Linked DNA regions of Notamacropus eugenii. The protein of the gene in region 1 purifies or fractionates together with the protein of each later gene. This does not show direct contact. Links are inferred from orthologs where the notes say so. Each region holds a gene or a part of one and is shown in the gene's direction. Other genes may lie near its edges. The genes, in order: TMUB1, ERLIN1, AMFR and TMEM259.

Region 1 (7,038 bases):
AAAGTTCACAAACGGCCTCCCACTCTTGGGGGGCGGAGGGGGGGTTCCGTCCTGAAAAAAGATCCTGAGGTCCAGGGAGTGAGGGTAAAAGCCCTGGGGTGGGGCGCAACCCAGCCCCCTCCCAGATACCTCCTCCCCACTCCTTCTAATGCCCCAGGGGCGGCTCCCCAGGAAGCAGCCGCATGGATCTGAGCAGGCGGTTCTGCAGAGCACGGGTGGGGACTGGAGGGCGTGGAATAACGGGCCCGCGCCCACGCGGCCCCCGGCGCCGAACCACGCGCCAGGCCCGGGCCCGCAGCTCCCCCGCCGCGGCGTGGGGGGGTGCGAAGGGTGAGGGGAGGAGAAGAGAGCCGGGGGCGAGCGCCAGCCTCTGGGGCCGGGAGGGGCCCGGCCCGGGAAAGCTGCCATTACCAGGGAGGCTCCGGATCCCCAGCCCCCAGGGAAGGACGGAGCAGCTGCCCAGACGCCTCCACCGGAGCGGCCCCACCTCCCGCGCCTCCAGTTCTGGATGCTCGGCCCCCTCCCCCCGGCCCTTTCACCGGTCAAACTCGACCCTCCCCCTCCCCATTCAATCTCGGGGGTTCGGCTCTCGCGCCCTCCACCCCGGGCCCGAGGCAGCGCGAGGCAGCGTCCGCAGTCTGCAGACGGGGCGGCCTGAACCGGGGCCCCAGGGGAACGTGGCTCGGACCCCAGCCCGAGCGGAAGCTACACGGCCTAGACCCCAGCCCTGCAAAGCCCTCAGACGGGAAACGGCGTGGCTGGGCCCCAAGGAGCCCGCGGACGGCCGCTGGCCACGTCCGGCCCCGGGCCCCCTTCGGATGGCGGCTGGAGTGCCCCGGGCCCCTCCGGCCCCGCAGCCCGCGGCGTCCCCGCGCCCGGCTTACCCTCGATGGAGATGACGTGCTCTCGGATCTGGTTCTGCAGCCCCAAGTCCTCGATGCGCTCGATCAGGTCGTAGATGGCGTAGATGTTGGGGTGCACCGACTCAAAGCGCTGGATCTCGGCCCGGATGGCCGCCGAGTTGGACAGCGCGAACTGCTGGGGGGGCCCTCCGGCCAGCTGCTGGGAGGGGCCGCCGGCGCCCCCAGCCCCGGGCCCCGCGCCGCCGAACTGCCCACCGCCCCCACCGCCCCCGCCGCCAGCCCCCGAGGCCGCCAGGCTCTGCTGCTGCTGCGGGCTCTGCCCCCCGCCCGCCTGGAAGTTCATGGCTCGGGAGCCGCGGGGGCCGGGCCGGGGCGGGGGCGGCGCTGCTGCGGCGGCGGCGGGGGTCGGGGTCTAGCAGGGGCCGGGACCGCGGAGCCGGAGGTGCGGGGCTAGCGCATGGAGCCGGAGAGCCGGACGCGCCGCCGCGGCTGCTGCAGACGCTGTGGCCGCCGCTTCCCGGGCGCCCCCCGGAGCCACGAGCCCGCCGCCCGCCGCCGCTTCCCCCCAGCAGCCAGCGGCAGCGGCAGCGGCAACAACAACGGGACCGGGAGCGCGCCGCCCGGGCCCTCCCCCCGCGTCATGCGCACGCACCGCCGCCCCCGCCGGCACCGGCACACGCAGCCCTAGCCCCCCTTGCGGCCGCCCCCGCCCCGTCCCCTCCCCCTCCTCGGCGCGCGCTGCCCGCCGCCTCGGTGTCCGCGTCCGCCTCCGCTCCCACCCCTGCGTGCCCCGAGCTTCTCTCGGCCTCCGGAGCCCTTCCTCCTCTGCCCCTCCCCCGGGCTCCCCAGGAAATCTGCTCCAACGCTGCGCCTCGCCCCTTGCCTCGAGCCTGGGAGACGGCGCCTCCCCCTTGGTTTACTTTCTTCACTGAGTGGTCACGGACTGACTGCCCAGGTGCCTCCTTGCCCTCCAGGGTCAGCCCCTCACGGCCCTGGAGTGACCCGACATGCCAGGTCTCCGGTGGGCAGTGCCTGGGCTCTGACTGGCTGAGAGAGGAGGGACCAGCGTCCAGGCCAAGCTTAGTGCACAAGTACAAGGACTGGCACATAGTAGGCGCTTAATAAATAGAAAGCTGTCTTGCCTAAATCTGGCTTTTTATTCTCAGACAGTAGCAGGGCCAAGGCTTGACGTCATCATGCACTCATACATTCATTACTGGTATATTCTATCATGGCCTGGTTCTGCCCCCCACCCCAAGCCCAGTAGTTTCTCAGTTCTGGTTCTAACAGTATTGTCTTTGTGTCCCCAACACCTAACACTTCTGTGTTTAATTTTTAAAAAATATTGATTGAAATATCTCCAGAGCATCACACCTCAGGAGTCAATGTGTTGTATTCTCCATCACCCTAGCCTCCTATTATTTAATTCTTTGTTCTTACATCCCCAAGGTAGTGCTTAACACATGGTAGTCTGTTAATAAATACTTGATTGATTTATAGGATAGAAAGAATTAACTGGAATATAACTAAGCAGGGTTGCATACTATACAAAGAAATCAACCAGGGACAATAAATGTTACTATACACTCTCTTTGCCTTTGCCAGTCCTGTTCAAGAGGACCTACCATAATGTATGTCTGTTCGTTTTCCTTTTCTCCAAGCCCCTTTCCTCCTTTATTTTGGCTTGTGTTCAGCTCATGTAGATCCAGAAAACCATCTATAATTTTCCTCCCCATCCTTTTCCTCTGCTGGAGATGCCTCTTCTGTTCCCTGGAAATCCTTAAAATCTATTCTTCTGATCTGGAACTTCCAAAATAAGGAATTCCTACTAGTCAGACCTGTGATGTTACAGGCAGGCTTTTTGTGGTAGAAGATATATCTTCAATCTTCTGCCGTCTCTTGTTCCCAAAGTCGAGCTGCTTTGAGCCATTAACTTTTCTCCTAGTGTGCCCAAGGGTTGCTCCAAAGTCCCTGTGGGGTTACCCTTGGAACTAGTTGCTAGCCAGTCAGCACCTAGTAGCTCCCTGGGAGATGTGAGTTCAAGTTTCATTTTTGTCATTGATTAGCTGCGTGGGCTTGGACAATCCAAATTACTTTTCTAGGCCTCCGGTCCTCTGCCGTAGGATTGAAGGAATGGGACTAGATGATCTATAAATTCCCTTTTAGTTCTAAAATTCTCTTATTCTAAAATATCTTGCAAGATAACTAAACATAACGTATTCATATGGTGCTTTGATTTAGAGTTATGTAGCTTTGTAAGGTTTACAAAATGCTTTCCTAACTAAAAGTCTGCAAGGTGAGTCGTGTAATTATTATTTCCATTTTACAGAAGATAAAACTACTACTCACATAAGAGTTTGCCAAGTTCACATAGCTGGGGAATGGAGAATGAGATTAAAACTAAGACCTTCTTATTATAAGTTGTAATACAGGGGTGAGGTCCCGGAAGCACAGGGAAAAATGAATTTGAAACCAAAGAAATTGGAAAGGGGAAGTTGTAGGTGTGGGAACTAGACGCCCCTCAAAGTTGGATAGGTATCAAGACGGGCACAGTTCTGGGGCTCATCTCAGATTCTTGGTACCAGGTTTCTATTAAAAAACAACTGGTGATGGTATTTGACTGGGTTAGTTTCTCTGGCAAGTCACTTTCTGTGAAAAGAGAAGTGAATTCGGAATGAGGCAACCTGCTACTTAGTGCGATATTAGGCAAATCCCTGTACCCCCTCTATGGGTTTCACTTTCCTCATCCACAAAATAAGGACGTTAAATGTTATTAGGGTTCTTAAAGCGGAGTCCTTGAAGTGGCTTAAAAAATATCAGGGTAATTACATTTCAACATAATTTATGTTCTTTTTAATTCTGAGTTTTACTTTATGCACTTAAAAACATTTACCTCAGAAGGGGTCGCCAGTCTTCATCAGACTGCACACGCCAAAAGGACAGATGACCCCTTCCAGCTTTGACCCTGCCTTGCAGCTGGCCAGGGTTACTTGGGCTGAAGAAACCCAGAGAAAGGGTACTCCCTTTCCTGACCTTCCCCATCTTCTCCTACTCTTTCTGGTCCCAAGCCCGGGAACGTTTCCGGGACAGTTAGGCGATGAGGGGGCGGGGCCGAGTGGCATCCTCGGGACTACAAGTCCCATAATGCTCGGGGCTGGTCTGTGCGGGGCGGGGGGGGGGCGGGTGGACAGGTAGGAGCGACCTCGGCGCCGCGCTCCCGGAAGTACTGGGGTGTCCGACATGGAGATGGACCAGCTGCGCGGTGAGTCGAGGGCACTGGGACCCCTGCCAGTCCTATTCTCCCCACCTCAACTGCGGCCCCAGGTTTTCCCACAGCCTCCTGCAAACCTTTTAATTTTGAGGGTGTCTTTTGGGGTGGAGGGAGCTTCCCAAGGGGATCCCGGGTCCCGGGCTTGGTGATGGGGGAGGGCGGGGAGAGGATAGGACCGGACAGGTGAATTTGGGGGCTCTAGGAAACAGAGAAGAAAAAAAATACCCATAGGGTGGATTTGGGGCTTGGTGAAAGGGGGTAGTGGGTTCTCTAAAAAGATAGGAAGCGAGGTTCCATAGGATGGGACTTGGGGTTTGGGGGTGAAAGGAGTGGTGTAGAGATGAATGGGGGGGTGTTTAGGAGACATGAATTGGGTCCCAAGGGAGGGGACTTGGGTTTTGATGATGGAAGGAATTGTGTGGCGATGGGGGTGGGGGGTGCCTTTAGGAGACTTGAATTTACGGTCTCAAGGGATGATGGAGGGAGGAATTATGTAGTGATGGGGGCGCGACAAGCGTTGAGAAGATATGAATTAAGGTTCAAGAAGGTGGACTTGGGGTTTGGAAAGTTGTGTAAGTTGGGGGAGGGGTTTTAGGAGACAGAATTGAGGTTCTAAGGGATGGGATTTGGAGTTTAGTGATGGGGGAGAAACTGTCTAGAGATGGGGTTGAGGTCCCAAGAAATGGGATTTTCAGTTGATGGGAGTGGTATATGGAATCAAATTTAGAGGCTTTTAGCGAACAAAAGAGTAGAATTAATATTGTAGTAGGGAGGGGCATGTAGAAGTGGGTTTGGAGGCTTTAAGATGCAGAGAAGTTGAATAAGTTAGGAGTTAGAGTTTGATTGATTGTGGGGGTGTTGTAATTGAATAAAGTGGGGGGGCTTCAGAAGACCAGTTGGGAGGTCCAAAGGTGGAATTTGGGGTTTGGTGATAAAAGAGCAGGTTTAGAAGACAGAGGCTTTAGAAGACAGCAGTGTTGAGGTACCACAAGGTGGGATTTGGATTTTAGAGATGAGGAATAGAGAAGTAGGTTTGGGGACTTTAGGAGACAAAGGAGGGCAGCTGGAATTCAAGAGTTGAGGGCTGTTGTGAAGCTGGACTAGAGTGGGGAATAGAAGACTAGTGAAATAAGGGGGTTTTAATAGGCCAAGATCTCACTGGTCTCTTTATGTCCTCATAGCTCAGTAGCCTGGCCTAGGCGGGTGCCATGGCCCTGATTGAGGGGGTGGGGGACGAGGTGACTGTCCTTTTCGGGGCACTCCTCTGTCTCCTGGTGCTGGGCCTGGCCTGGATCTCTACACACACCTCAGAACAAAGTGATCTGCTGCCCCAGGACTCAGGGACCCCCTCCCCACCACAGTCCAGAGAGGTTGCAGTATCCACAGTCAGCAACAGCCAGGATGCTTCGGGATCTGAGGCCCCCACACTGAGACACCGGCTACCAAGCTTACAGTCAGAGCCTGGCACGGTATCCCCAGAAACACCACCCCCCAGCTCTCAGCCAGGACCCTTGGTGCTTAGGCTGAAGTTCCTCAACGACTCTGAGCAGGTGGCTAGAGCCTGGCCCCACGATACCATTGGCTCCTTGAAAAGGTGAGTAGGGGTGGGGAGAGAAATGGGAAAGGCAGGGAAGGAGATGCTGAGAGAATGGGTTGGAGTCGGATATAGAAGCTCAGAGGTCATCTCAGTTCAGTGGTATCAAACTCAGAAGCAGACCCCTGCAGGGACTAACTGACTTAAAAAACCACAAATTCACATCTCTGGGGCATTGTATTTTTATTTATTTTGTTAAACACTTTCCAGTTACATTTAACCTGGTTGGAGGTCGCTGGTTTGACACCTCTGAGCCTGCCTAATTAGTAGAGGAATTGGAGGCAAGCCCAGATCTCCTAACTGTAGCGCTATACCGGGCTGCCTCTCCTCTCTGATGGACTGCGGGCTAATGGGATGGAGAAGGGCAGTGGAAGGGGGGCGGGAACTGTTGCCACAAGGCGTAGGACTAGGATTGGCTGAGACCTGCTCTCTTACCCAGGTCCCTCTCTCCTCAGGACCCAGTTTCCAGGCCAGGAACACCAAGTTCGACTCATCTACCAAGGGCAGCTTCTAGGAGACGATGCCCAGACACTGGGCTCACTTCACCTCCCCCCCAACTGCGTTCTCCACTGCCACGTGGCCGCCAGAGCAGGTCCCCAACACCTCGGCTGCCCACCGGGGTCAGAGACCGGCCCCTCGGGGTTGGGAGTGGGCAACCTGCTGCTCCCGCTGCTGCTTCTCATGCTGACGCTGCTTTGGTACTGCCAGATCCAGTACCGACCCTTCTTTCCCCCAACCGCCACCCTGGGCCTGGCCGGCCTCACCCTGCTGGTCAGTCTCCTGGCCTTCGCAATGTACCGCCGCTAGTGCCTGCCCGGGCCCAGGGCCGCAGCCACCCCGGATCCCTGTCTCCGAGGCACGGCGGGGGCTGCTGCCTGCCCCGGCCCGCCGCTCGGCCGTGCCTCTTTCCCCTGCCCTGGAGTCCGGCTCTGCACCGAGAGCTGCGAGGGCCCTCGGAGCCCTCCCCATGTGACCAGCACTGCTCCCGGCTGGGCCCCGGGACCGCGGGCGCCCACCCCCCGCTGAGAGCGGCCTCGCCGCCGGGCCGCTGCTGCCCCTGCCTGGGGGTGCAGGGCGTGCCCAAGCCTTTGGGCCCCTCCAACGCGCAGCCTGCCCATGCGCCGTGAGAGTTGCCAATGACCCCCAGAGCGCCTGCCGGGCTCGCAGGACAGGACCGTGCCGCCGCTCTGGTTCTTTGCATAGACTTCTATTAAACAAAAATGTGAATTCCCAGCGCAGCGGGCTGTGTGCGTGCGTGCGCGTGACCTGGACAAGGGAGGGGCCTGCGCGGAGCAGCGGAGTCCCCGGGG
Region 2 (7,594 bases), on another chromosome or scaffold:
TTAAGGGATCAGTGTGTTGCCAAGTCTGTGAGTCAGTGGTCAGGAATAAGGCTGGGTCTAGGACTGGAATTAGTTTTACAGGTTGTGCCTGAGAAAAGTCAATCTTGTACCCCATTTCAGCTTGTGGCCAAGGATCTGCCACCATCACCTCTATACAGATGAAGTCCTAAAACTTTATTCCTACCTTTACTATCTTCCCAGGTCCTAGGCCAATTTTTTCCAGTTGACTCATAGACATCTTCACCTGACTATCCAGTTGGTATTTTAATCTCAAAATATCCAAAGCTGAAATCAGTCTTTCTTTCTTCCCTATACCCAACCTGCCCTGCCCTTCCTTTTAACATGTTTCTCTCGATGATGTTACCATTTGTTCATTTATTTTTTACTTGAATAGTCTTGATAATTATCTCTCTCTGCAATATCTTTTGCTGTCTCCCTTCTCTCACCATCTATTGTAACATTGTTTTAGAGTCTCTTCTAGGTAATTTATTTAAATAGCCTCTTAATTGGTCTTCTTGCCCTGGTTTCATCTCCCCTCCATTTAAATTTATTTGCTTGTCTGAGTAATCTTTCTAACCCTAACCCACAGTGATCTAGTTATTTCTAATGACAATTAGCATTTGTCTGTCCCTTTAAAGTGTTCAGAGCGCTGTGTATACATTTTCTCATTTGCTCCTTGCCACAAAGCTATAAAGGTGGGGCCCTTGGAGATCTCTTCCATCTTTCCATCTATAATCCTGTGACTTCAAGTTCAACGGTTCTTTTCAACAACATGCTCAGTTGTTTCAGGTGCGTCTGAGTCTTCATTACCCCATTTGAGATTTTCTTGGTAAAGATCATGGAGTGGTTTGTCATTTCCTTCTTCAGCTCATTTTACAGATGAGGAAACTGATGCAAACAAGGTCAAATGACTTGCCCAGGGTCACACAACTAGTAAGTGTCTGAGGTAGCCTTTGAACTCAGCTCTGTCCTGATTCTACTGCTATCATATAGCTGCCTCAGCTCTCTCTACTGGGCTAAAAAAACCTTCTTCATTGCCTACCTACTAAAGTATAAACTGATCTTCACTTTCAAGGTTACCTACCATCTGGTTCCAATTTACTTCATAGCCTTATGTTTATGCTCATTCTCTCATTCTTATTCCACCTAGTCTGTCTCCTTGCCTGTTTGGTTATGTACACCCCCCAGTGGCTCTCACACAATGGACACTTCATGTTTGTTAGATTTGCATCTTTTTGAGAGGTAGCCTCAAATGGTGGGATGATCATGGGTTAGCCTTTTAGTGCCTCACACAACTCTCTGCAAATTAAAAAAATTGTATTTTGATATTTGAGGTATGGGGATTGGAGTCATATATATGTATATATATACACACACACATATATACACATATACACATACATACATACACACATGCATAAATACATATATACATACATACATATATATATAAAATTTCTGTGTTTGTCCTCCGTTTTCCAAGAAGACCATGCCATCAGAGAAATGATGACATGTCTTGCACTTGACTTTGTTTTGAGTGAGGGAGGGATGTGCAAGGTTACAAACCTCACTTTCTCTTCTGAACCATCCCATGTTCCTGAACCTATTATTCAAGTCCCTAAACAATTGGGAAGCACCATACCTGAAGGTCTCATCCAACTCTAGATCTACCTCTTGACATGACTTTGTATTTACTTATCTATGTCCTGGAAGCATGGCCCCATGGGAACAACTCTGGTTCTGGAGTCAGAAGAGCCTTCCTGGGTGGCTCCCCCTCTACAGCTCTCATTTCTTCCATGTTCCAGTGAGGGGAGTGCACTCAATGGCTTCTCACATCCTTTCTGCCCTAAAAGTATGAGGCTGGCTTTTACATTGGGATCCCAGAGACTCCTTGAAGGGAGGGACACTTTGTCTTAGTTTGCAGATTACCTAGCAAAGTACCTTGTACAGAACAGGCACTTGGTACTTATTGAACTGAATTGCCCTTAGATAGCTTAGAAGTACCATGATGTATTTATCTGTGTCCCACCTGCAACTTAGCCCAGAGGTGGAAGTGTCTGAGAAAATGCAGAATTGAAAAAGCTGGTGCAGATGCCGGGAGGCAGCAGCCCCTGGAAGTGGGAAGATGAGGCTTCAGTTCCTGGCCCAACTCCTCCTTTTACTCCTCTGGGCTGAGTGGACAAATACTCCACTGATTAAATCACAAGACCAGCTTAAAAACAACCACCAAACTAAGGACTTCTCCCAGGACATCTAGGTTGATTTCCCTAGAGTGCTGAGAGATTCGAAGACTGACTCAGGGTAACACAGTCAGGCGATGTCACAGGCAGAACTAGAACCCAGATCTCATGACTCCAAGGGCAGACCTTTATTCCCAGTGCTAAGCTGCCTCTCAACACTTGAGCTAGGTTTGAAAAGCAATGAAGGATGGGAATAAGCATTTGTATCCTACCTAATATGTGCTAGGCACTGTGCTAAGCACTTTATAAATAGCATCTCATTTGATCTTCACAACAACTATTTGAGGTATGTGTCATTATTATTCACATTTTAGAGTTGAGGAAACTGAGACAAACCTGATGTTAAGTGACTGGACCAGTTGCTAAGTATTTAAGGCTGGATTTCAACTTACTTCTTTCTGACTCAAGGCTCAGCACTGCTTTCACTTCGCTACCTAGTTTCCTGCTACATTGTGGAATACAAATGAATACAATCTGTCCTTACAAGCTACATAATGACACCCTTGGAATTTCCTCTTGTCAGACTACTTATTTATTAAGCACACACCCACAGTCCTGAGTCCTTCTGACTCTATGGTACAAAAGGCCCAGCTGAGGATACTTTCTCCCAATGTAGCTTGGTACCTTTGCAACACACAAAACCAGTACGTTTCAGGGGTAGGATTTGAACTCAGTCTTCCTGACTCTGGGGCCAGTTGTCTATCCATTGTGTCTTGCTGCCTTTTTCTTTTTTTTTTTGTTGGTACAAATTTTTAAAAAATTATTATCTTATTTGTTTTCACTGTTCTACAATCATTTCCATATATCTTAAATTTCCCCCCCTCCCTCCCCTCCCTCCCACTCCCTCCCTGAGAGGGCATAGTTTTATATAGGTTCTACACATACATTCCTATTAAATACATACCTTAGTCATGTTGCATAGAAGAATCAAAATGAATGGGAGAAACCATAAAACCAAAACATAATACAAAAGAAAATGATCTGCTTCATTCTGTGATCTGAATTCCATAGTTCTTTCTCTGGATGTGGAAGGCATTTTGCCTTAAGAAACGATTGGGAATTTTTTAAGTCTTTGCACTGCAAGAAGTACCAGAAAAAATTCCTTGCACACTGTGGTTGTTGCTGTGTATAAAGTTCTCCTGGTTCTGTTCCTTTCACTCAGCATCAGTTCATATAAGTCTTTCCAGGCCTCTCTGAAGCCTTCCTGTTCATCATTTCTTATTTGCTGCCTTTTTCTTTTCTAAGAGGAGATGAATGGGCATCTTACTTCTTGGTGTGTTGTCACATCTTTGAAAAACAAAGTTAACCCCTCCCACAAGATCACAGTGAGGAATTTCCACTCCCATTTCTGAGTTGTAACACAAGCAAGATCATCCAAGTTTTTTCTCTCATATATAATAAGTTGTTAAAAATTCATTTAACTTTTGTTTCAAATTCTTTTCCTCCCTGTAAGCTTGCTCCCACACACTGAGAAGGCAAATATATGATACTCCCATAATAAAACATAATAATTGTTTTAATCATTTAAAATAGTCTAATATGTCCAAGCATGAACTTAAGCCTGTTCAACAAGCATTTATTGGCAGTTAATAACTATAAGTTCAACTGAGCTAAAATCGAAATATAAGAAGCAAACCCATCCTCCAGGAATAAAACAAAAAGAAACCCTCCCCCCTACTTCCCCCCCCTCCCCACTTTCCCCCCTTCCAAGCAAACCTTTTGTTTAGGAGAGGAGTTACAATAAAACTTGAATGAAAAGAAATGGATGTTTGTTCACTTCAAGTCCTTATATCTATCAGAATTATCAGTTGCATAATTACTATTTCTTTTTCATAACTTTCACTGCAACTTAGTGAGAAGTTTCTGCAAAAGAAAGAAATGAATTTGACATACCAGACACTTCCAGTGGTTTGTTGAAATCTCTGTTTCATTTGATTCATTCCTTTCTTATACATGCATATATGTATGAAAGTATGCTTGTTCAGAGAAGGCAGGCAGAATCTTAATCTTTATTGGATCGACTGGGCAGCTGGGAAGGTGGATGGCAGGCAAAGCTGAGGGGCTGCCCACCTAGCTGTTTGCTCTATCCCACAGCTCCCTAGTGAAAGAGAAAACCTCCCAGAAATTGACATGGTGCACAGGAGCTTCAGGGTCTATGTCCCTGCCCCACCCTTCCTCGGAAGCAGGCCTCCCACGCCTGTGCCACGTGGATCTAGGCTCCTATCCTAACATCCCCACCAGGGGGAGACAAACCCAAGCAACGCGCATCGAGAGCGAGAGACCAGTTTTGTCTCGGCTCACTCGCCGTCTCCCCCTTTTGACCGTACAGGATGTGACCGCGCATGCGTATACCGGGCGCCTGCGCAGAAGCGCGGGACTGTGGGCCCGCCGGCGGTTGTGGGCGGCCGGTGGTCCCTGGCAAGGTGGGCGACGAGCTCGGCGCGTCGCCGGGGAGATGCGCAGCCGATCGGTGAGACTGGGGGCGGGCGGGGAGGGCGGGAGGCAGAGGCATCCTCCCTCCTCAGGGGGCTGTACCTGAGGGGGAGGCGGCATCCGCGGGGCAGGGGGCGTCACTGAGGGGCGCGGCCGTCACAAGCCACCTCCGCCGAGGCGGGGGCCGGGCACCCCGGTCCCCCAGGTTGTCCCGAAGGGCGGGGCTGCCCGCCCGGGCCCGAGGCTGAGGGGAGGCAGGGAGCAGAGGCGATGTCAGGCAGGGGCGGGGGCTGCCGCCGGGGAGAAAGCAGGTGTGGGGGGCCCGGTAGAGGAGGTGCCCGATGGGGTCATCTAGTCCAGCTCCTGCTCGGACTGGCGACCTGCAGCCCCTGGCGCTCCCCACCGGGAAGCCGAAGCCCAGGCCTTCTCTGGGGGAGGGACGTGGATGACTTGTACCCGAGAGCGGAGGGGGTGGGAGGGAGAGGAGTTGCTGAGAACTTGCTGGAAGAGACCGGATTTGAACTCGGGTCCTCCTGACTCCCGGGCCGGTGCTCCGTTCCCTGGGCCACCTAGCCGCCTCTAAGCAGGTCATCTGGCTACACAGTCAGCCTTCTTTTCCAGGGCAGTCTGGAGGGTGGTGGCTGCAGAGGAGCAGGCGACCACTCACTAGCGGGGATGATCAGTGAGGGGTGGGGCAAGAATGGCCGGAAGGGAGGGTCAGAGGCTGATGTGAGGGGGTGTCCCGGAGGGCAGTTTGTGTCTCTTCGGTCAGTCGGAGTCCAGGGGGAGTATTGAGGCTGAGCCACTCCTTAGGTGATAGGAAGTCATGGAGGAGGGGGAGATCACTAAGGGTGGACTTAGTCACAGAGAGAGAAGGAAGAGTCACTTGGGATTCCCTGTTTCTTTGCCCCTGAGAAGCAGGACTGAAAAGTGGATATCCTGACGGGAGAGAGTTTGCCACTAGACTTGGAAGACTCAGGGCTGTCCAGCTTCCACCTGACACTGTGTGACCACGGACAGTTCCCTGGCTTCCCTGACACTATCCCTTAGGGATAAGGATACCTATAGTCCTTACTTCCTAGCATTGCTGTTAGAATTAAGTGAGATAAGTTGTATGTGAAGCTGGCTACATTAAGAGACTGTACATTAATGTCAGCCGTTATAAGGACTGTCTGAGGCAAAGTGGAGGGACCATTTGTCAGGAATAGACATTGTCATTGAAGGGGAAGGAAAAATTATCACTTAAGAGAGTGGGCGTTTCTGGAGGTGTCTCTGGAGGAGAAGGGGAGTAGGAGGTTTTTTTTTTTTTACTGAACCAGAAGGTTCGGTCACAGGTAGGAGTGAGGATCCTCACAGTGAAGAGTGAGGGGAGACCATGTTAAGGCTAGTGACTTTGTAGATGGGTGTGTTGCTGAGGGGGGATAAGTAGGGTAGGAGATGTCTGATCAGACTGAAATTCATTGAGGGAGGAAAGAAAGAGTATCGTTGAAAGGGAGATTCTAGAAAAGAGGGATTATTGGTAAAGAGGAAGTGTCTTGGGAAAATTGCTGTTAACTGAAGGAAAAAGGTATTTGTCAGGAGATGTTGTAATTGAGAGAGATAGAGATTGTCCTTGAGGGATGGATGGGGTGGCTGGGTGGGGTTCATTTAGAATTATTGAGTGAGAAAAAGGGGGTTGGAGAGGGAAGGGGGAGTGAACTGGTGGGCTGAATGGAAAAGATGTGATAAGTGGGTAATGGAGGATTTTGTGGGAATAGCTGTTGGGGAAGAGGGAGGTCACTGGAAATAAGGGTGGAATTATGGTGGGTTTTGGGCAATGGGTGGGTCAGAGAAGAAGGGACCATTTCTATGAGGGTGCAGATGAGGGAGGGGAGGAAGAGAGGCTCCTTTGGAGACCTAGACTTCTCAACATTGGTTATAGAGAGGGGACTGGACCATCTGGGGAAAGGGAGATCAGAACTATTGGTTCGCTCCTCATATAGGAAGAGCCAGGATGAATATGACTCAAGCCGGGGCTCTGGGGGCTGCAGCTGCAGGGCTGGTGGTGGTTCTCCTCTACGCCTCCATCCACAGGATCGAGGAGGGACACCTTGCTGTGTACTACAGGTGAGTGCCAGGTCATGGGAGCCCAACAGACCAGTGTGTACATCCAGCCTAGGTTATCCAACAAAGACAGCTATGATCCCTGGGAATTTGGAAGTTGTCCTTACTACAGTATTGTCTCAGAGTCCTGGAATTGGGTTGATTATCATCAAGCAACCTTTGTGAAGTACATAGTACTGCGGGGGGCGGTGCCACCGACATTGGTTACAACTGGTTTGACTTTTACACACTGCAGAGGCCCAGGGTTGTCCTTGAGCCTCAGTGGCATTCAGTGTTTGTGGGGCTGGTACTCTTATTTGTTTGTTAGCTTCTTCCTGACAACCTTTTTCTCCAGGAGTTTTCCTGAATCTGATCACTCTAAACAGTGACCATAACACATTATGGCTAAGAAGGATGAGATGCAGATAAATGTGTAAATAGTTTTGGGTACACTCTACTTTTCCTCCTTTTCAGCCTGTGTTAGTCTAGCTTACAGGGTAAGGGGAAAATAGTGTGGAAAATTTAGTTTCTCTTAGATGTTATTGCCAGCACTTCTCACAGAGATCTGTTATCTACAGGGAGATCAGTCAATGGAGGCCTTGGGCAGAGAGTTAATTAAAAGAGTATTACCACTCCCAGTTTCAGTGTATCCTTTCTCCTAACTCTTGAGTTGAACACATTTTTCTAATTGAGGACATAGACATACTTTAAACAAGCTTGTTTTTGAATATTTTTACAGGTAGGTCACTATAGGGGTAATTTGGTAGAAGAAATGACAAACTGTGACTAGTAGTTAGGAATGGTATTTTGTTTCAAATTAACAATGACTTGGATGTACC
Region 3 (7,416 bases), on another chromosome or scaffold:
TTTTCTAAGCATTATTCATTAAGTCCCCATGATATGTGAACTAACAACAGTACTAATTTAAAATTTATTTAATAAGGTTTATGAATGTGTGTTTGTTCAACAAGTTTCTATTCACTGACATTTATTTATCAAGTATTTATTGAGCCCTTATCAGGTAAAAGACATTAGATTCCTTGTTTGATTGTTTTAAAACTGCAATATATAGTATCATTCACTTTAAATATTCAAAGGAAGTTTGAATATTTCTGGCTGCAGTAATCGTCACTGAAAAGTGAATTCAGAATAGCCCTTAAAGTATTCAGTAGACTGGGGCAGAAAATGTAGAATCTATATTTATTTGCCTTAAGATCTCTTCAGTGTCAAAACAAGCATTTTATATGGCCTAAATTTTTTTTATGTATGAAACTACAAAAATAAACTAATATTCTAAAAGTCTTTAGAAGCACTAAGACTTGTGAAACTTTGTTAAGTAATTAAAATGTAGTATGATAATACTAATTAGAAAATGCCAAGTTTAATGCAGTAGATGGAGAAATTTTTCTGTCATAAATGATTTTCCCATCCCTACAACTTGCAATTACTTTGTTACAGTACTTTCAAGTAAAAATTTAACCTTTGAGAACTGCACATGAAGGGAGTGTGATTCAGTTTGCTTAGTGGGTTTGTACTTTTCAATCTTAGGTAAGAAAGTATAAGGTTTTCCAAATGACAGAAGCTAACAGTCTAGTCCATTTGATAACTCACAGCTTGTTCCAAATGAAAATCCCTTTCTAAATTTAGAAAAGTGAAGTATGTTGATTCTTCAGTTCCTACTTGTTTTTTAAGGCATTTAGTCTCTTACGTACTACAGCGTTTCTGAGATCATATCCTTGGAGAAACTTTTGATTACCTGATTTCAAGAGGCTTAACATTTTTGTTAGTTAATAATGGTTGGAACAAATTGTACTGATCTCTAAGACAGCTTCAAGAAGCTTGCTGCTTTGTGTGTCTTGCCAAGGAAAGTTCAAAGAAATGTTTAGAACTATAATAATTCCACCTCTGCATTTTATAATAGAGTAATGCTTCATAATTCTTCCATCACTGAAGTATTTGATTGCATTTAATTGGACTCTTGGTGTTTGCCTGAATCATTTAATGATTAAAGAACAAAAACATAATTTGAATTGGTCAGTAAAGTCCATTTTACTAATAATGGCATTTTCAAGTCACTTCTACATCTTGGCAAATTTGTTATTTTCTGAGAAACTGCTTGAAATCTGGTGCTAAAAGCTAGTACTGCTTTGTATAAATAGTTTGTGTTTTAGTGACAAAGTACATCATAAAGGTGGAACTGTAAGTAGGGAAGAATGTGCCCAGTTAGGATGCTAAGCCATGGAGGGCGGGAATGTTGCTAATGTTAAATTTTTATATCGTCTTTAAAGGAAGATGTGTACGCATCTTTAGTTTGGCATCAATAGCTATTTGCAGTATTAGATTCTTAGAAACTGTAAAGATATAAGTTCTGGTTTTATTTTTACATATAGAATGCAAGAGCTTAGTTTAAAAGGTCATTGCTGTTCCCTTTGTCATTTTAAATAAAAATCATTTAAAACAAAGATTCTGTGAGTGTTTAGGAACAGGTCCCCTTGTATAGTAAACCTCTTCTTCTCATTAGAAATTCTGCCTTTTTTTTTTTTTTAAATGAACTCCTATGGTAAAGAAGGTTTATTAAGTTCTGGTGTTTGAAATTAACATCAATATGTACCCACTTGTAAAATATCTTAACCACTTAAATTAATCCTACATTTAATGTTCAGAAAGCTTAGTCTCTTTGCAAAATGGAACATAAATAGAAAGCTGTTATGCACAATGCAAATTTTATTGGGGGGGTGGAATATGTGTAAAACTAAATGTAGAGAGGAACTTAAAAACCGTATTTTTTAAAAAGGGAAAAGGATGTGTCAAGTTATCTTAAAATATGGAAAAGTAGTAGTGTGACATGTAATATTAAACTGAAAGGACTTTTGACAACATTTACTTATAATTGTAGGGTATCATCTTAAACCTGTTGGGAATATCTCCCATTGCTAAATGCACTGTGGCTTGGATTTTGATAGGGTTTAAGATAGGAACTGTACCTGTGATTTCATGCAGGCCTGCAACTGATAAGTCTTAGAAGAGGAAAGTTTGCCCAGGTTCACAGAGTTAATATAGTATGCAGTAGAGGGTTTAGTTCATTTAAAAATCAGTACCAGGATTTATAGTTGCCCTGCACATCAGTAATTCTCTTAAAAGACTATTACCTTTTTACCTTATTTTGAGTAACTCAGTGTAGTAAAAAGAATTGCTGGGTTTGAACTCAAGAGCACCCAAGTTCAAATCTTGGCTATTATAATAACAGTTTGGACATAGATAAGTTATTTCTCCTTTTTAGGCTTCAGTTTCCTCATCTGTAAAATAAAAGAGTTGGACCAGAGACTCCAAGGTTCCTTCCAGTTCATAATGCTATGCTCTTACTGCTTATATAAAACAAGGCCTTGTTGGACTGAATCAAGTAGTTTTCATACCTTGATCAAATATTCTTGGATCCTCCCCATTTTTTTCTCCATCATGGGGATGGAAACACCATAGTTTGTAAACGTTGGAGGGAGCACAAGTGCTTAAAAAGTCATCTTGATGCAGTGAGGCCAATACAATGGTGACTAGTTAGAGACGAAATTACTAAAGTGGTTGAAAGCACCTTCAGTTTTTAGTACTCTGTTAAGCCCAGGGAATAAATAACTGGCTGTTGGGGGAATTTACTTCAACATACAAGTATTGAGCCAGGTTGTAGGTATTACATTTGACCGATAACTTTAAACTTCTAGTTCCACCTCTCTTATTGATGAAATTGAGGGCAGGAGGGTTTAAGGTTGCCTAAAGTGGCTCTCCACGGCTGCAAACTGCCTCTTTTTCTAGGTAGTTCTCAAAGTAATTTAAAATGACAGTGCAGCACCAATTTAAAAAAAAAAAAACTGATTTAAGAAAATCCTCAAACATGAACCTATATCCATATATATCCAAAGGTGATGAAATGGGGATTAGGTGTGAAACCACGAATGTATTAAAGCTTATTTTTTAAATGACGTTCAGCCTGGTAGGACCTACATCACCCTACTTGTTTATGTCCCCTTCTGAATTTGCTTCAGCATTTAAAATTTTTTTTTTTTTTTTTTTTTGCTGACACATCTTTGTATCAATGTTGCTGCCTTCGGTGTTCTTGACAATAAAAGCCCTCTGGCAACAAGCACCGTCAAAACTAAGAAAATTTATGATGGGTGTGTTGGAAAATATCTCATTTCACAGTTACAATGAATCATTCGTTGGCAGTGGTGTTTTGTCTGGTTCTTCAATTCCCTTTTTCTATGCCGTGGTTGTTGCACAAATAGTTATGTTTCTGTTCGATCTGCATCAGTTGAGTGAATGAAAAAAGGACGGAAGCGCTTCTAAGCCAAGTACTGTTCGTGACCCCTTTGGGGTTTTCTTGGCAGAGATGCTGGAGTGGCTTGTTCTTTCCTTCTCCAGCTCATTTCACAGATAAGGAAACAGGCAAACAGGGCTAAGTGACTTGCCCAGGGTCACACTACTGGGACTGCATTTGAACTTGGGGAAAAAACTGTAGGCTGGGCACTGTTCTTTCAGCTACAGTTCTATGCAGCTCCTAATCCAAGAAGCCAATGATAACTGATATTTGTAAAGCACTTGATCCTCAGAGTAACCCTTCGATGTGGGTGCTATTATCTTCATTTTACAGATAAACAGGTTGAGGGCCAGTAAGTGACTTGTCCAGGGTCACCAGGGAGGAACTTGAACTCCGGCACTGTGGCTCCCAGCCCACCGCCAGAGCCACCGTATTTCCCTCCAGAATGGAGTTGGTGCGCTTAGCAGCTTTCGACTTTTAAAAATCGTCAGTTCTCGAGGAGACGGAAGCTTTCCGAACTTAACAGGTGACGGGAGTGTACGAAATAATTCTGTTAATTTCTTAGTGAGAAGGGAGGCGGCGGGGGAGGACCGGTCGAACCGCTCAGCAACCGCAGCTTCTTGGGGGGACCTCGCGGAGCGCCGGCCCGGCCGAGAATAGCCCACAGCGCGGGCCGGGCCGAACGGACTTTACGCTGGCCGGGGCCGGAGGTCAGGTGGCCCTAGTCTCCTCTCGGCCCCTCTCCTAGCCCCAAACCCCGGTCCTGTGCCTGCAGCCCCGGAGCCGTCCCTACCTTGCTCTGGGCCTCAGTTTCCGCCTCTAAAGTCTGGGGCCCTGGCTGCCTCGGGGCCCTTCCCGCGACTAGTTTCCCCCGAGCTATTTTGGCTCTTCCGATCTCCCGCCCAGCCCTCGCGGGTTTATGATTTCTGGAGGCGGAGGAGGGAGGGTCAGCTGCGCCGCCTTCAGCCCCAACCTGGAGGCGGGCGGCTCTGGGCTCCGCGGCTCGGAGCGGCCCAGGAGAGGGCCCGAGGCCGGTCGGGTCCCGCCCCGGGGCGGGAGGGGCGGCCGCCGGCCCCGTGGCCGAGGCTCTTCCGCGCCGGCAGGGGCAGTAGCGGGAGCGGGAGCGGGAGCGGGAGCGAGCGGCGGAGAGCCGAGGAGCGCTGTCGCCGTCGCAGTCGCCGCCGTTTGGAGGAGGCTGCGCGGGCGGGAGCGAGGGAGGGAAGGAAGAAGGGAGGCAGCTCCGGGGCCTGCGAGGCGAGGCCCGGGGCCCAGGGCCGCTATCCCCGCCACCATGCCGCTGCTTTTCCTGGAGCGCTTCCCCTGGCCCAGCCTCCGCACTTACACAGGCCTCAGCGGCCTGGCGCTGCTGGGCACCATCGTGAGCGCCTATCGCGCCCTCAGCCAGCTCGAGCCAGGCCCCGGCGCCGGCCCGGGAGAGCCCGAGGCGCTCGCCTCGCCTCAGCAGCCGCTGCAGCCCCAGCCGCCGCAGCCCAGCGCCCTACCGGGCCCCGGGGGCCCCCGGGCCCGAGATGTGGCCCAGTACCTGCTGTCCGACAGCCTGTTCGTGTGGGTGAGTGGGTGCGGGGGGGCTGGGCACAGGGCGGAGGGCTCGGAGGGGAGCCCGAGTGGGGGCGGGGCCGGGCGAGGGGCGCCTGAGCTGGAGGAGATCGACAGCTCTGGGTAACTGGGAGCTGTGGGTTAGGAGCCTTCATGTTTTAGGGGATCCTGCAGAGCGCCCCTGAAAGGACGCCTTTGAGTACGTAAAGACAATCACCCCCGCACCCCGTGTCCCTCCCCTCCCCCCCGCACCCTCGGATAGGAGGCAGCATATCAGAGTGGGCAGCGGAGACGGAGTTTATGAACGTCGGGGTCACCGCTCCAGCGTGCGGGGGTGTACTTATGAGACAAATGAGTAAACTGAGGGCCACAGGGGGAAAGCGACGTACTTGTGGTCACAGGGGTAGAAAATTCGTGGCTGAATTGGAACTCCACATCCTTTTATTCCAACTCCGGTGCTTCCATATGTGGATGGGAACTTTTTTTTCCCTTGAGATCAGCCACATTTGGGGAGTTTTTTTTAAGGAGCGTGAATTTCAGAGGTTGTCAGCAGTATAACTGTATTAATGAGCTTTCCAGAGACAGGGAAGAAGAATGTTAGGAGCTTTGATTCTGAGTGATCCAGAATTGTAGACTTGAGTGTAGACTTCCTTGTCTTGGCATGAATAAGGCCCATTTTTTCTCACTGAAAGATCTTGTTCTCTTTTACCGCTGTCTAGCAAGGACCTGTTTGCGTGTTTGGTTTTCTCTCTTTACTTAACCATGAAACCAATATCCAGACGGAGGCAACCTACACTTTCAGAAATATAGCTTGTGCTGGCACGTGAACCGAGAAAGGAGTTAAGAAAGTCGAGAAGGCCATACATAAATAGCCAGTCTAAAAGAGGGGTATATATCCGTGTGTGTGTGTGTGTGTGTGTGTGTGTGTGTGTGTGTGTTTCTCGTGTAAACCATGCAGCACCAAGTACAGTTACTCCACGATTGGAGACTGTCAATTTCGTTGTCAATTTCGTTGTCACTCACTTTGCCCTTTTAGGTCAGTGTCAGCCTCTCTGTGACTATTCACTTGGTATCCAAAATCACAAGAGTGTGTGCAGTTCCTTCAAATTAATACCACTGTTTCAGAAACAGATTTATAAACTTGAGAAGATTATAGAGATGTTCTTGTTATTTTGAAATTCGAATTCTCCTGACTTTAAAAGTTAGGGATATATGCAAGATACATGAAATTTCTTTACCTCTATTTATACTGGGTCCATTTGTTCCATGTAGCACTGATACTCTGTAGTAGCGTGCTATTTTTAGGATAGCAGTGGGGAAAGAATTCATTTCATTCCATTGAAATTTTAAGTGAAATTAATGTTTTGTACTTTGTTTAGTTTGAAAATTGCTTACTTTAAATGGGAAGAATGGAGTTTGACAATTCTTTAAGGTTATAATATCTTTAATATGTGGGGGGGGTTTTCTTAAAACTTAAGATATAAATAAGTCTTTGATAAGTAGCTCTTGTGCTTATATAACAAACAGTCACTGGTATTGTTTAGTGATTTTTTCCTAGGGGTTTCTTCTTACATATCTACTGTTGAAATTCCAGTAGTCTTAAATATATTCATAAAATATTAGGTAAAGCCTAGTGATTTTTTTGTGAGTTATTCTTTTAAAATTGTCTTTTCCCCCTCATTTTTCTGTCTGCTTTTTAATAGATGACTCAGTTTGAGGTTTCTATTTCTTCTGTATGTGGATATATTTTTCATTTCTTAGTTGATCTTTTTCCTCTCCTTTTTCTCATATTTCTGCTTTGCATTAATCTTGACTTACTGCATTTCATTTACCTTCTTACAGATTGGTTTGTTCTTGCTTTACTTTTTCATTTCTTACTCTTTTTATTCCTTAACCTGCTTTTTTGCACTGGAACATTACTGTAATGTTGTTCGGAGCTGAGAACAATTTGGTATAATGTAGTGTCCCAGAGGAGTTTGAGTTATTGAAGTGTCTAAAATAATCTTATAATGAATTGGTCTTGTTTATAAGATACATCTATGGCATGGATCCCTAAGGACACCAAGGTGAGTCTCCATGGTTCTTAGATTAGTGACTTCTTTGACTTGTTCTCTTCTGTTTTACTATAGGTTTTTTTTCCTTATTGGTTTTCAGTGGTCTCTACTTTCACCTGCTATCGTGTGCTATTTTGCATTGCCTGGCTTTCCCTTTTGTAAAGGTAATAGGCACTATTATATTTTCAGATTCATTTCTCTTAACTCTACACTTCTGTTAATTTGGCATGATGGTAGTTTTTCAAGGCTTTTTGTATCCTTATAAGTACCTCTTGAGCTATTGTACCAGGCCAGCTAAAAATTATTCAGCTTCTTTTTTCTTGATACATTATATTTATTACCTCCTTTTTTCTCTTTCCTTTCCTC
Region 4 (7,611 bases), on another chromosome or scaffold:
CAGACTGTCTTGGACTGGAAATCTCTTTCACGCTATCATTTTGTGGCTTCTACTGCTCTAGAATTTGCTTGGAGTCATTTTTTACAGGTATTTTATGGGCTATGGGGGTAGAGTTAGAGCAGGTCCATCCTTGTACTCTGCCATTTTGGCTCCTCCTTCTCCATAAACATAATTTTAAAACATCAGTAAGATGCAAAGAGAAGATGAATAAATGGATGGGACTGGATGAGGTCATCAAGAGAAAGTATAAAGAAAGAAAAGATAATAGCTCTGGATAGAGCCTTGGGGTTCACCCACATTAAGGGAATTGGACTTGGACAATGATCCAGAAAAGGAGGCTAAGAAGGAATAGTCAGAAAGACAGGAGAAAAACCTGTGTTCTTCTGATATGAAGAGAGCTAGGTCATAGAAACCAAGTGAGAAGAAAGTAGGAGGGTGTGGTAGGCAGTGTCAAATGCTCCAGTGAGGTCATGAAGGATCATAGGATCATTAAAGGTCATCTGATCCAACCTCCTCATTCTAATCTTAATTTCCTCATCTGTAAAATGGACTTTGAGGCACCAGTTACAGCTGTATTGGTATTTTCAACTTTTAACAACATTATCTCATTGGATCTTCACTACAATCCTGGGAGATAAATGCTATTATTATTTCCAATTTACAGCTGAGAAAATCGGAGCAGACAGAGATTAAATGATTTACCCAGGGTCACAGAGCTAGTAAGTATCTGAGGTTAGATTTGAATTCCGGTCTTCCTGATTCCAGGTCCAGCACTCTATCCACTATGTCATGAGTTGACTAGAACAAATATGAAGGGTTTTGATGGAGTTCTCTTTAATGGCCTCTGAAGTGTCTTTAAACTCTAGATCCTTTATATCCCTAGTTGATTGGAAGACCTATCAACAACTTGAGCCTTAACCCATTGGACCAATCAGATCTCAAGGACAACTTCCATGCCTTTCAGGGGAAGCTGTAGCCTAGCCTACATGGTTTGGTCCACTGGAGATCTCTTCAAGACTTTAGAATCTGGGAAGGTAAGGAAGGGATGCAGTTTATACAAGGCTGTCATGGGGCTCCCAAACATATAAGAATGAAATGAGAAAATTTGAACCTTAAAGTCATAGATGATTGGTTGTTACAATTGCTTTCTGTGCCTCTGCCTTCCTCTAAAGCATCACCTCAAAACAGGCTAGGATAAATAGACTTCTGGGCCAGTTAACACATCTCTTTATTAGGCCCACAACCTTCCCAAGGCTGGTTGTGAGGATCTCTAACTAGCTTTATTCAACTGAAGGTCCCCAGCCCTCACTCTTAGGGCAACTAAATTCCATTCACTCCTTCCTTTCTTTAGCCTCTCACTTAGTCCTTTTCCTCCTGGAAAAGCACTCTTACTGCTTTCTACTTGCCATTTTTTCATTCCTTCTCTCCCATTTTCTTCCCTTTTGCAGTAATTGTTCAGTCATTCAGTCTGTATCTGACTCTTCATGACCTTCTGGACCATAGCCATAGCCCTTCCATCCTCCACTACTTCTCCAAGTCTACCCAAGTTCATGTTTGTTGTTCCTATGATATTATTTGTCCATCTCATCCTCTTTCATCCCCCTTTCCTTTCACCTTCAATCTTTCCCAACTTCAGAGTTTTTTCCAGTGAGTCCCATCTTCCCATTATGTGACCAAAGTATTTAAGCTTCAGCTTTGGTATTTGACTTCCAAGGAATCGCTTCAATTAATTTCCTTAAATATTGACTGGCTTGATTTCTTGTCGTCGAAGGGACTCAAAAGTCTTCCTCAGCACCACAGTTTGAAAGCATTGATTCTGCAGCACTCAGCTTTCTGTATATAGTCCAGCTCTCACAGCCATATATTGCCACTAGAGAAACGATAGCTTTGACCATATGGACCTTTGTCAGCTTTTGAGTATGTTGTCCAGCTTTCCTTCCAAGGAACAAGGGTCATTTTATGGCTGCAGTTACCATCTGCAGTGATCATGAGCCCAAGATTATAAAATCTGACGCTGTTTCCATTTCTTCTCCTTCTATTTGCCAGGAAGTGATGGAATCAATCACCAAGATCTTAGGGTTGTTTTTTTTTTAATGTTAAGGTCCAAGCCAGCTTTTCTACTCTCTTCTTTCACCCTCATCAAGAGGCTTCTTAATTCCTAGGTCATGCAAATTACCCTGAGGTTTGGAGTAGCCTCAAGATGGCACTGGAAATACAGACAGCTGGCTCCTTCCTTGCAGAGGCCACAAAAGTTTATGTCCTCCATTCCATGCAAAGTGAGAGAATTGGACTAGATGTTTTGTGAGGATCTTTTCTGTCTTGAAATGCTATCAGTGACTTATGGGAGAGGGCCCAGGAAAAATCTACTCTTCCAGAATCCCAGATTTGTCCCCAGCCTGGTTTCTTCCTGGGTCAATGTCTTCTTCCTCAAGAATTTGGAGCCTTCTAGTATGTAGTTGGTTGGCAAGATGCCCAAGAGCTTCTTCTTCCTTCAGTGTCTGGTTGGCAACATCACTTCAGTGATCCATGAATTCATAGAATTTGGGGTTGAAAGAGTTCTCAGCAGAGACCATTTAGTGCAACCCCTCATTTTATAGATAGGGAAACTGAGGCCCAGGGAGGTTAAAGTGACTTTCCCCAAATCAGAGAGCTTGTAAGTGGCAGTCAAGATTGTGAAGCTAAACCTTCCATTTCTAAATCCAATATACTTTCCAGTATCCCACTGGGACAACCCCTTTACTAGTTGATCTTCAGGAGTTGGCTAAGGTCTCATCACTATCTTGTCAAGTCTGGTGATGAGCCTCTCAGAAGTTAGCTATGTTGGTCCTCAGGGGACTGACATAAAGGGCTATTGACCAGACTTTGGGTTTTGGCCTTGTAAAACTTTGTTAAAACATTTTGGAGATACCTTGTTTCCCAGAGCTAAGGGCCAGCAAACAGGCTGTGTCCTGACCTTGACAACAATAATCTTTTGCACTCTGGATGATCTCACCCTCTGGCAAAATGTATTGCACCAGGTCTTCAATCCTTCTATTTCCCAGTGACCTGAGAGCCAATATCTACCACGTCTCTGACATGCTCACAATCCCTGTCCTTGTCACAGAATTCTGGTTCTGTACCCCATAGAATAATCATGATCCCCAAGACTTGGGACAATAACGTTTCTATAGGACCCCTAGGAACAATAACGCAAGACCTAAAAATGATTATATCATAGCCCAGTCCACATGTATATAAACATTGCCTGTACCCCAACATGTTAGACCCTCGTCAGGAGCGGGGCTTCCTTGGATGCAAGTCATTTTCCTCACTCTGAAATAAATTATACCGCTACTTTGTATCCGGACACATCTGCCTCTAGCTCCTCTGGCCATGCCCAGGTTAGAGACTGGTCCAGTCTGGACTCCATTCAAAATTCTATTGACAACCCAGAGAATCTTTGCCAAGGAAATCCCATGGATTTTCCCAGAGAGCTCCACAAGGATCATGGGTCTGACAGAACCGACAGAACTAAAACGACTGAACAGTTACAACAATCCTAGCCCCTGGCGCATAGTGGGTGCTTAGCCATTGATTGTATCCGGGACCAACACACAGTAAGTGTCTTGAACTGCGTGTTTGCAAGATCTCTTTGAGGTGAACACTATTATCCCCATTTGACAGATGGTGAAATTGAGCGTGAGGAAATGTTCAGTGACTCGCCCTCAGGCATACAACTAGTAAATGCTGAGCTGGGGTTCAAGTCCACCACTTTACCTCCATTCCAGGGTGTTGAGGTTTCTTCCTCTTCCTTCCCCGCCCTGATCTCACTACACTTATGCTGCCTCTTACAGGACAATAAAAGAGGGAGGCCACCTGGAGCACAGGGATGCTCCTTCCACCCTCCTCTGGAAGCTTTGGTCCAGGGGTTTCAGGTACAGGTTGCTACGTTTCACATTCAGTTGTACACAGGCTGAATGCTCCTGGCCTCCCTATACATGAGAGCGAGCGAATGTGAGCGTGTGTAGATATATAAACACATACAGATATACACATATTTAGACATATATACAACCTCCAACAAAGACCCTTTCCAGCTCTGAAATCCCTCGCGTCTGCCAGGCGTTACAGAAAAACTTTGGAGGAGTTTGAAAAAATATGGAACGCTTCACGAATTTGCGTGTCATCCTTGCGCAGGGGCCATGCTAATCTTCTCTGTATCGTTCCAATTTTAGTATATGTGCTGCCGAAGCGAGCACGAAAATCAGGGGCTAGCTCCTGCTATTTAAGGCTGAACAATAGATCTATTTTATGATTAGGATGACTAGTATTGCCACACATCATTTTTCTTTTTATTCTTCTCTAGATGAAGCCAGTCTCAGAATAAGAACTCAACGTATAATTGAAAAGTAAAATTTTCCCACTTTATTCGTGTTGCACTAGAAATGCGGTTGCATTTGCAAAACTTCGAGTCGAAGCTTGTGCGGCGGTGGCTCACGGGAGAGTATGCAAAAGACGCCTTGGCTTGGCCCCGCCTGGGCGGCCGGGAACGGAGGGGAGGGCCGGAGAGGGGGAGGGAGGGAAGGGCGGAGGAACCGACTGGAGGGCGGGGCTGTTCCTCCAGCGTCCCAGGATTCACCGCGGGCGAAGCCGTCTCGTCAGCAGGGCCGGGGTCGCGGCGACTGAGGCGGCGAATGGCGGCCTGTAGGCGCCTGTGAGGAGGCGGCGGCGCGGCCGGAGGAGAAGCGGCGGCGTCCGGAGCGTGGGGCAGGGGCGAGGGCGAGCACCCGGCGGGAGCGCCGCGGCCCAGGAGGGGCCCCATGGCGGCTGGGCCGCCTTCCCTGGGAGCCCCGGCCTGTTAGCGCCCCGGCGGCCCAGAGCAGAATGTCGGAGAACCCGCCGCCGCCCCCGCCCGGCCCCGGGAACGCCCCGGGCAGCGGCCCTGCCAACTCGGCCGGCGGGGCTGGGCCCGGGCCCGGGGGGGCGGCGGCCGGAGGCGGCGGGGCCGGGACCCCCCGCGGGGCGCGCACCCCCAACCTCAACCCCAACCCCAACCCGCTCATCAACGTGCGCGACCGCCTCTTCCACGCGCTCTTCTTCAAGATGGCCGTGACCTACTCGCGCCTCTTTCCGCCTGCTTTCCGCCGGGTCTTCGAGTTCTTCGTGCTGCTCAAGGTGAGCCCGAGGGCCGCAGCACCGCCCTCCCCCCCGCTCCGCCCTGCCGGGCTCAGCAGCCCCCCCATGGGCGTCGTGCCCCCCTTGTGCGGAGCCGCCACCCCCATGGACGTCCAGCCCCCCAGTGCCCCCCTTGTGCAGAGCCACCCCCATGGACGTCCAGCCCCCCAGTGCCCCCCTTGTGCAGAGCCACCCCCATGGACGTCCTGCCCCCCAGTACCCCCCTTGTGCAGAGCCGCCCCCATGGACGTCCTGCCCCCCAGTACCCCCCTTGTGCAGAGCCACCCCCATGGACGTCCTGCCCCCCAGTGCCCCCCTTGTGCAGAGCCACCCCCATGGACGTCCTGCCCTCCAGTACCCCCCTTGTGCAGAGCCGCCCCCATGGACGTCCAGCCCCCCAGTGCCCCCCTTGTGCAGAGCCGCCCCCATGGACGTCCAGCCCCCCAGTGCCCCCCTTGTGCAGAGCCGCCACCCCCCTGGACGTCCTGCCCCCCAGTGCCCCCCTTGTGCAGAGCCGCCAGCCCCCCTGGATGTCCTGCCCCCCTTGTGCAGAGCCGCCACCCCCCTGGACGTCCTGCCCCCCAGTGCCCCCCTTGTGCAGAGCCGCCAGCCCCCCTGGATGTCCTGCCCCCCAGTGCCCCCCTTGTGCAGAGCCGCCAGCCCCCCTGGACGTCCTGCCCCCCAGTGCCCCCCTTGTGCAGAGCCGCCAGCCCCCCTGGATGTCCTGCCCCCCAGTGCCCCCCTTGTGCAGAGCCGCCACCCCCCTGGACGTCCTGCCCCCCAGTGCCCCCCTTGTGCAGAGCTGCCCCCCTGGACGTCCTGCCCCCCAGTGCCCCCCTTGTGCAGAGCCGCCCCGATGGACGTCCAGCCCCCCAGTGCCCCCCTTGTGCAGAGCCACCCCCATGGACGTCCTGCCCCCCAGTGTCCCCCTTGTGCAGAGCCGCCCCCATGGACGTCCAGCCCCCCAGTGCCCCCCTTGTGCAGAGCCGCCCCCATGGACGTCCTGCCCCCCAGTGCCCCCCTTGTGCAGAGCCGCCCCCATGGACGTCCTGCCTCCCAGTGCCCCCCTTGTGCAGAGCCGCCCCCATGGACGTCCAGCCCCCCAGTGCCCCCCTTGTGCAGAGCCGCCCCCATGGACGTCCTGCCCCCCAGTGCCCCCCTTGTGCAGAGCCGCCACCCCCCTGGACGTCCTGCCCCCCAGTGCCCCCCTTGTGCAGAGCCGCCCCCATGGACGTCCTGCCTCCCAGTGCCCCCCTTGTGCAGAGCCGCCCCCATGGACGTCCTGCCCCCCAGTGCCCCCCTTGTGCAGAGCCGCCCCCATGGACGTCCTGCCCCCCAGTGCCCCCCTTGTGCAGAGCCGCCACCCCCATGGATGTCGTGCCCCCCTTGTGCAGAGCCGCCACCCCCCTGGACGTCCTGCCCCCCAGTGCCCCCCTTGTGCAGAGCCACCCCCATGGACGTCCTGCCCCCTGGTGCGGAACCCCCCCATGGATGTCCTGCCCCCCTTGTGCAGAGCCACCCCCCCATGGACGACCTGCCCCCCCAGTGTCCCCCTTGTGCAGAGCCGCCACCCCCATGGACGCCCTGACCCCCAGTGCCCCCCTTGTGCAGAGCTGCCACCCCCCGGACGTCCAGCCCCACAGTGCCCCCCTTGCGCAGAGCCTGCCCTGGAGCACTCAACACTCCCCTGATGGACATCCAGCCTGCAGACCCTGTGGTCTGTGATGGACATCCTGCCTCCCTAGTCTTTAACAGCCCCTCCCACCCCCTACCCTTTGCCTTTGAGGGCTGTACTTCACATTGATCTGACATCTTGTCCCCAAAAGTCTTTAACACTCACTATTTCCTCCTTGCCCCCCAAATCTGGGCCCTCTGCCTTCATCTGAGAAGAGGGGGGGATAGTGAAGCTATTTGTGGATTTGGGGGATCTGAATCCAAACTCGAGGTCTTGAGCTTAAGAGCTGTGTGACTGGACCCCCTCAAGGCTTGGTTTCCTGTCCTTACTTGGATGGAGGTTAGACCAGGTTCTAAAACTGATTCTGACCCACTGTCCTGCCCCTGAATCAGCCAACAAGTATTAAAAGCTTACTATGGGCCAGGCACTGTACTGAGTGCAGGGAACACAAAAGACTGGGACCCAGTGCTCAGGGAGATAACCTTCTGGTGGGAAAAAAAACATGCAAGCCTTGTAAGAGCCATATAAAGGTACACACGGGGAAAGACCCTGAGGATTTTAAAACCTCCACCTCGGTATCCCTTTCCAGATCCTATCCCCCTGCAGCCACTTTCATGAGTCTGTGCCCCCCCCCCCCAATTTTGGAAGGCAGGATAGTGCATTGAAAGAAGCAGTATATTTGGAATTGGGGGGATCTGAATTCAAATCCTTTCTTTGCCTCTTTATAGAGTTGTGAGATGGACTTACTTTTACCGCTTTGGGACTTCTTTTCCTTTTTGAGA

What was found.
Region 2: the proteins of TMUB1 (region 1) and ERLIN1 purify together in Homo sapiens (affinity purification with mass spectrometry; 3 studies listed by BioGRID and IntAct, with this or other methods). This does not show direct contact. The link is inferred for Notamacropus eugenii from reciprocal best matches to the Homo sapiens genes TMUB1 and ERLIN1.
Region 3: the proteins of TMUB1 (region 1) and AMFR purify together in Homo sapiens (affinity purification with mass spectrometry; 3 studies listed by BioGRID and IntAct, with this or other methods). This does not show direct contact. The link is inferred for Notamacropus eugenii from reciprocal best matches to the Homo sapiens genes TMUB1 and AMFR.
Region 4: the proteins of TMUB1 (region 1) and TMEM259 purify together in Homo sapiens (affinity purification with mass spectrometry; 3 studies listed by BioGRID, with this or other methods). This does not show direct contact. The link is inferred for Notamacropus eugenii from reciprocal best matches to the Homo sapiens genes TMUB1 and TMEM259.

Annotation. Positions count from the first base shown.
Region 1 is NC_092874.1:94,994,926-95,001,963, forward strand, and holds TMUB1 (transmembrane and ubiquitin-like domain-containing protein 1), read left to right. Parts: upstream 1-4,028; 5' UTR 4,029-4,125; intron 4,126-5,315; 5' UTR 5,316-5,342; coding exon 5,343-5,728; intron 5,729-6,183; coding exon 6,184-6,535; 3' UTR 6,536-6,961; downstream 6,962-7,038. UniProt on the Homo sapiens protein: Involved in sterol-regulated ubiquitination and degradation of HMG-CoA reductase HMGCR. Involved in positive regulation of AMPA-selective glutamate receptor GRIA2 recycling to the cell surface.
Region 2 is NC_092872.1:249,189,582-249,197,175, reverse strand, and holds the start of ERLIN1 (erlin-1), read left to right. Parts: upstream 1-4,588; 5' UTR 4,589-4,710; intron 4,711-5,170; exon of another isoform or gene 5,171-5,260; intron 5,261-5,434; exon of another isoform or gene 5,435-6,240; intron 6,241-6,655; 5' UTR 6,656-6,666; coding exon 6,667-6,779; intron 6,780-7,594. UniProt on the Homo sapiens protein: Component of the ERLIN1/ERLIN2 complex which mediates the endoplasmic reticulum-associated degradation (ERAD) of inositol 1,4,5-trisphosphate receptors (IP3Rs).
Region 3 is NC_092872.1:473,920,825-473,928,240, reverse strand, and holds the start of AMFR (E3 ubiquitin-protein ligase AMFR), read left to right. Parts: upstream 1-4,413; 5' UTR 4,414-4,730; coding exon 4,731-5,009; intron 5,010-7,416. UniProt on the Homo sapiens protein: E3 ubiquitin-protein ligase that mediates the polyubiquitination of lysine and cysteine residues on target proteins, such as CD3D, CYP3A4, CFTR, INSIG1, SOAT2/ACAT2 and APOB for proteasomal degradation.
Region 4 is NC_092875.1:61,373,602-61,381,212, reverse strand, and holds the start of TMEM259 (membralin), read left to right. Parts: upstream 1-4,605; 5' UTR 4,606-4,863; coding exon 4,864-5,154; intron 5,155-7,611. UniProt on the Homo sapiens protein: May have a role in the ERAD pathway required for clearance of misfolded proteins in the endoplasmic reticulum (ER). Promotes survival of motor neurons, probably by protecting against ER stress.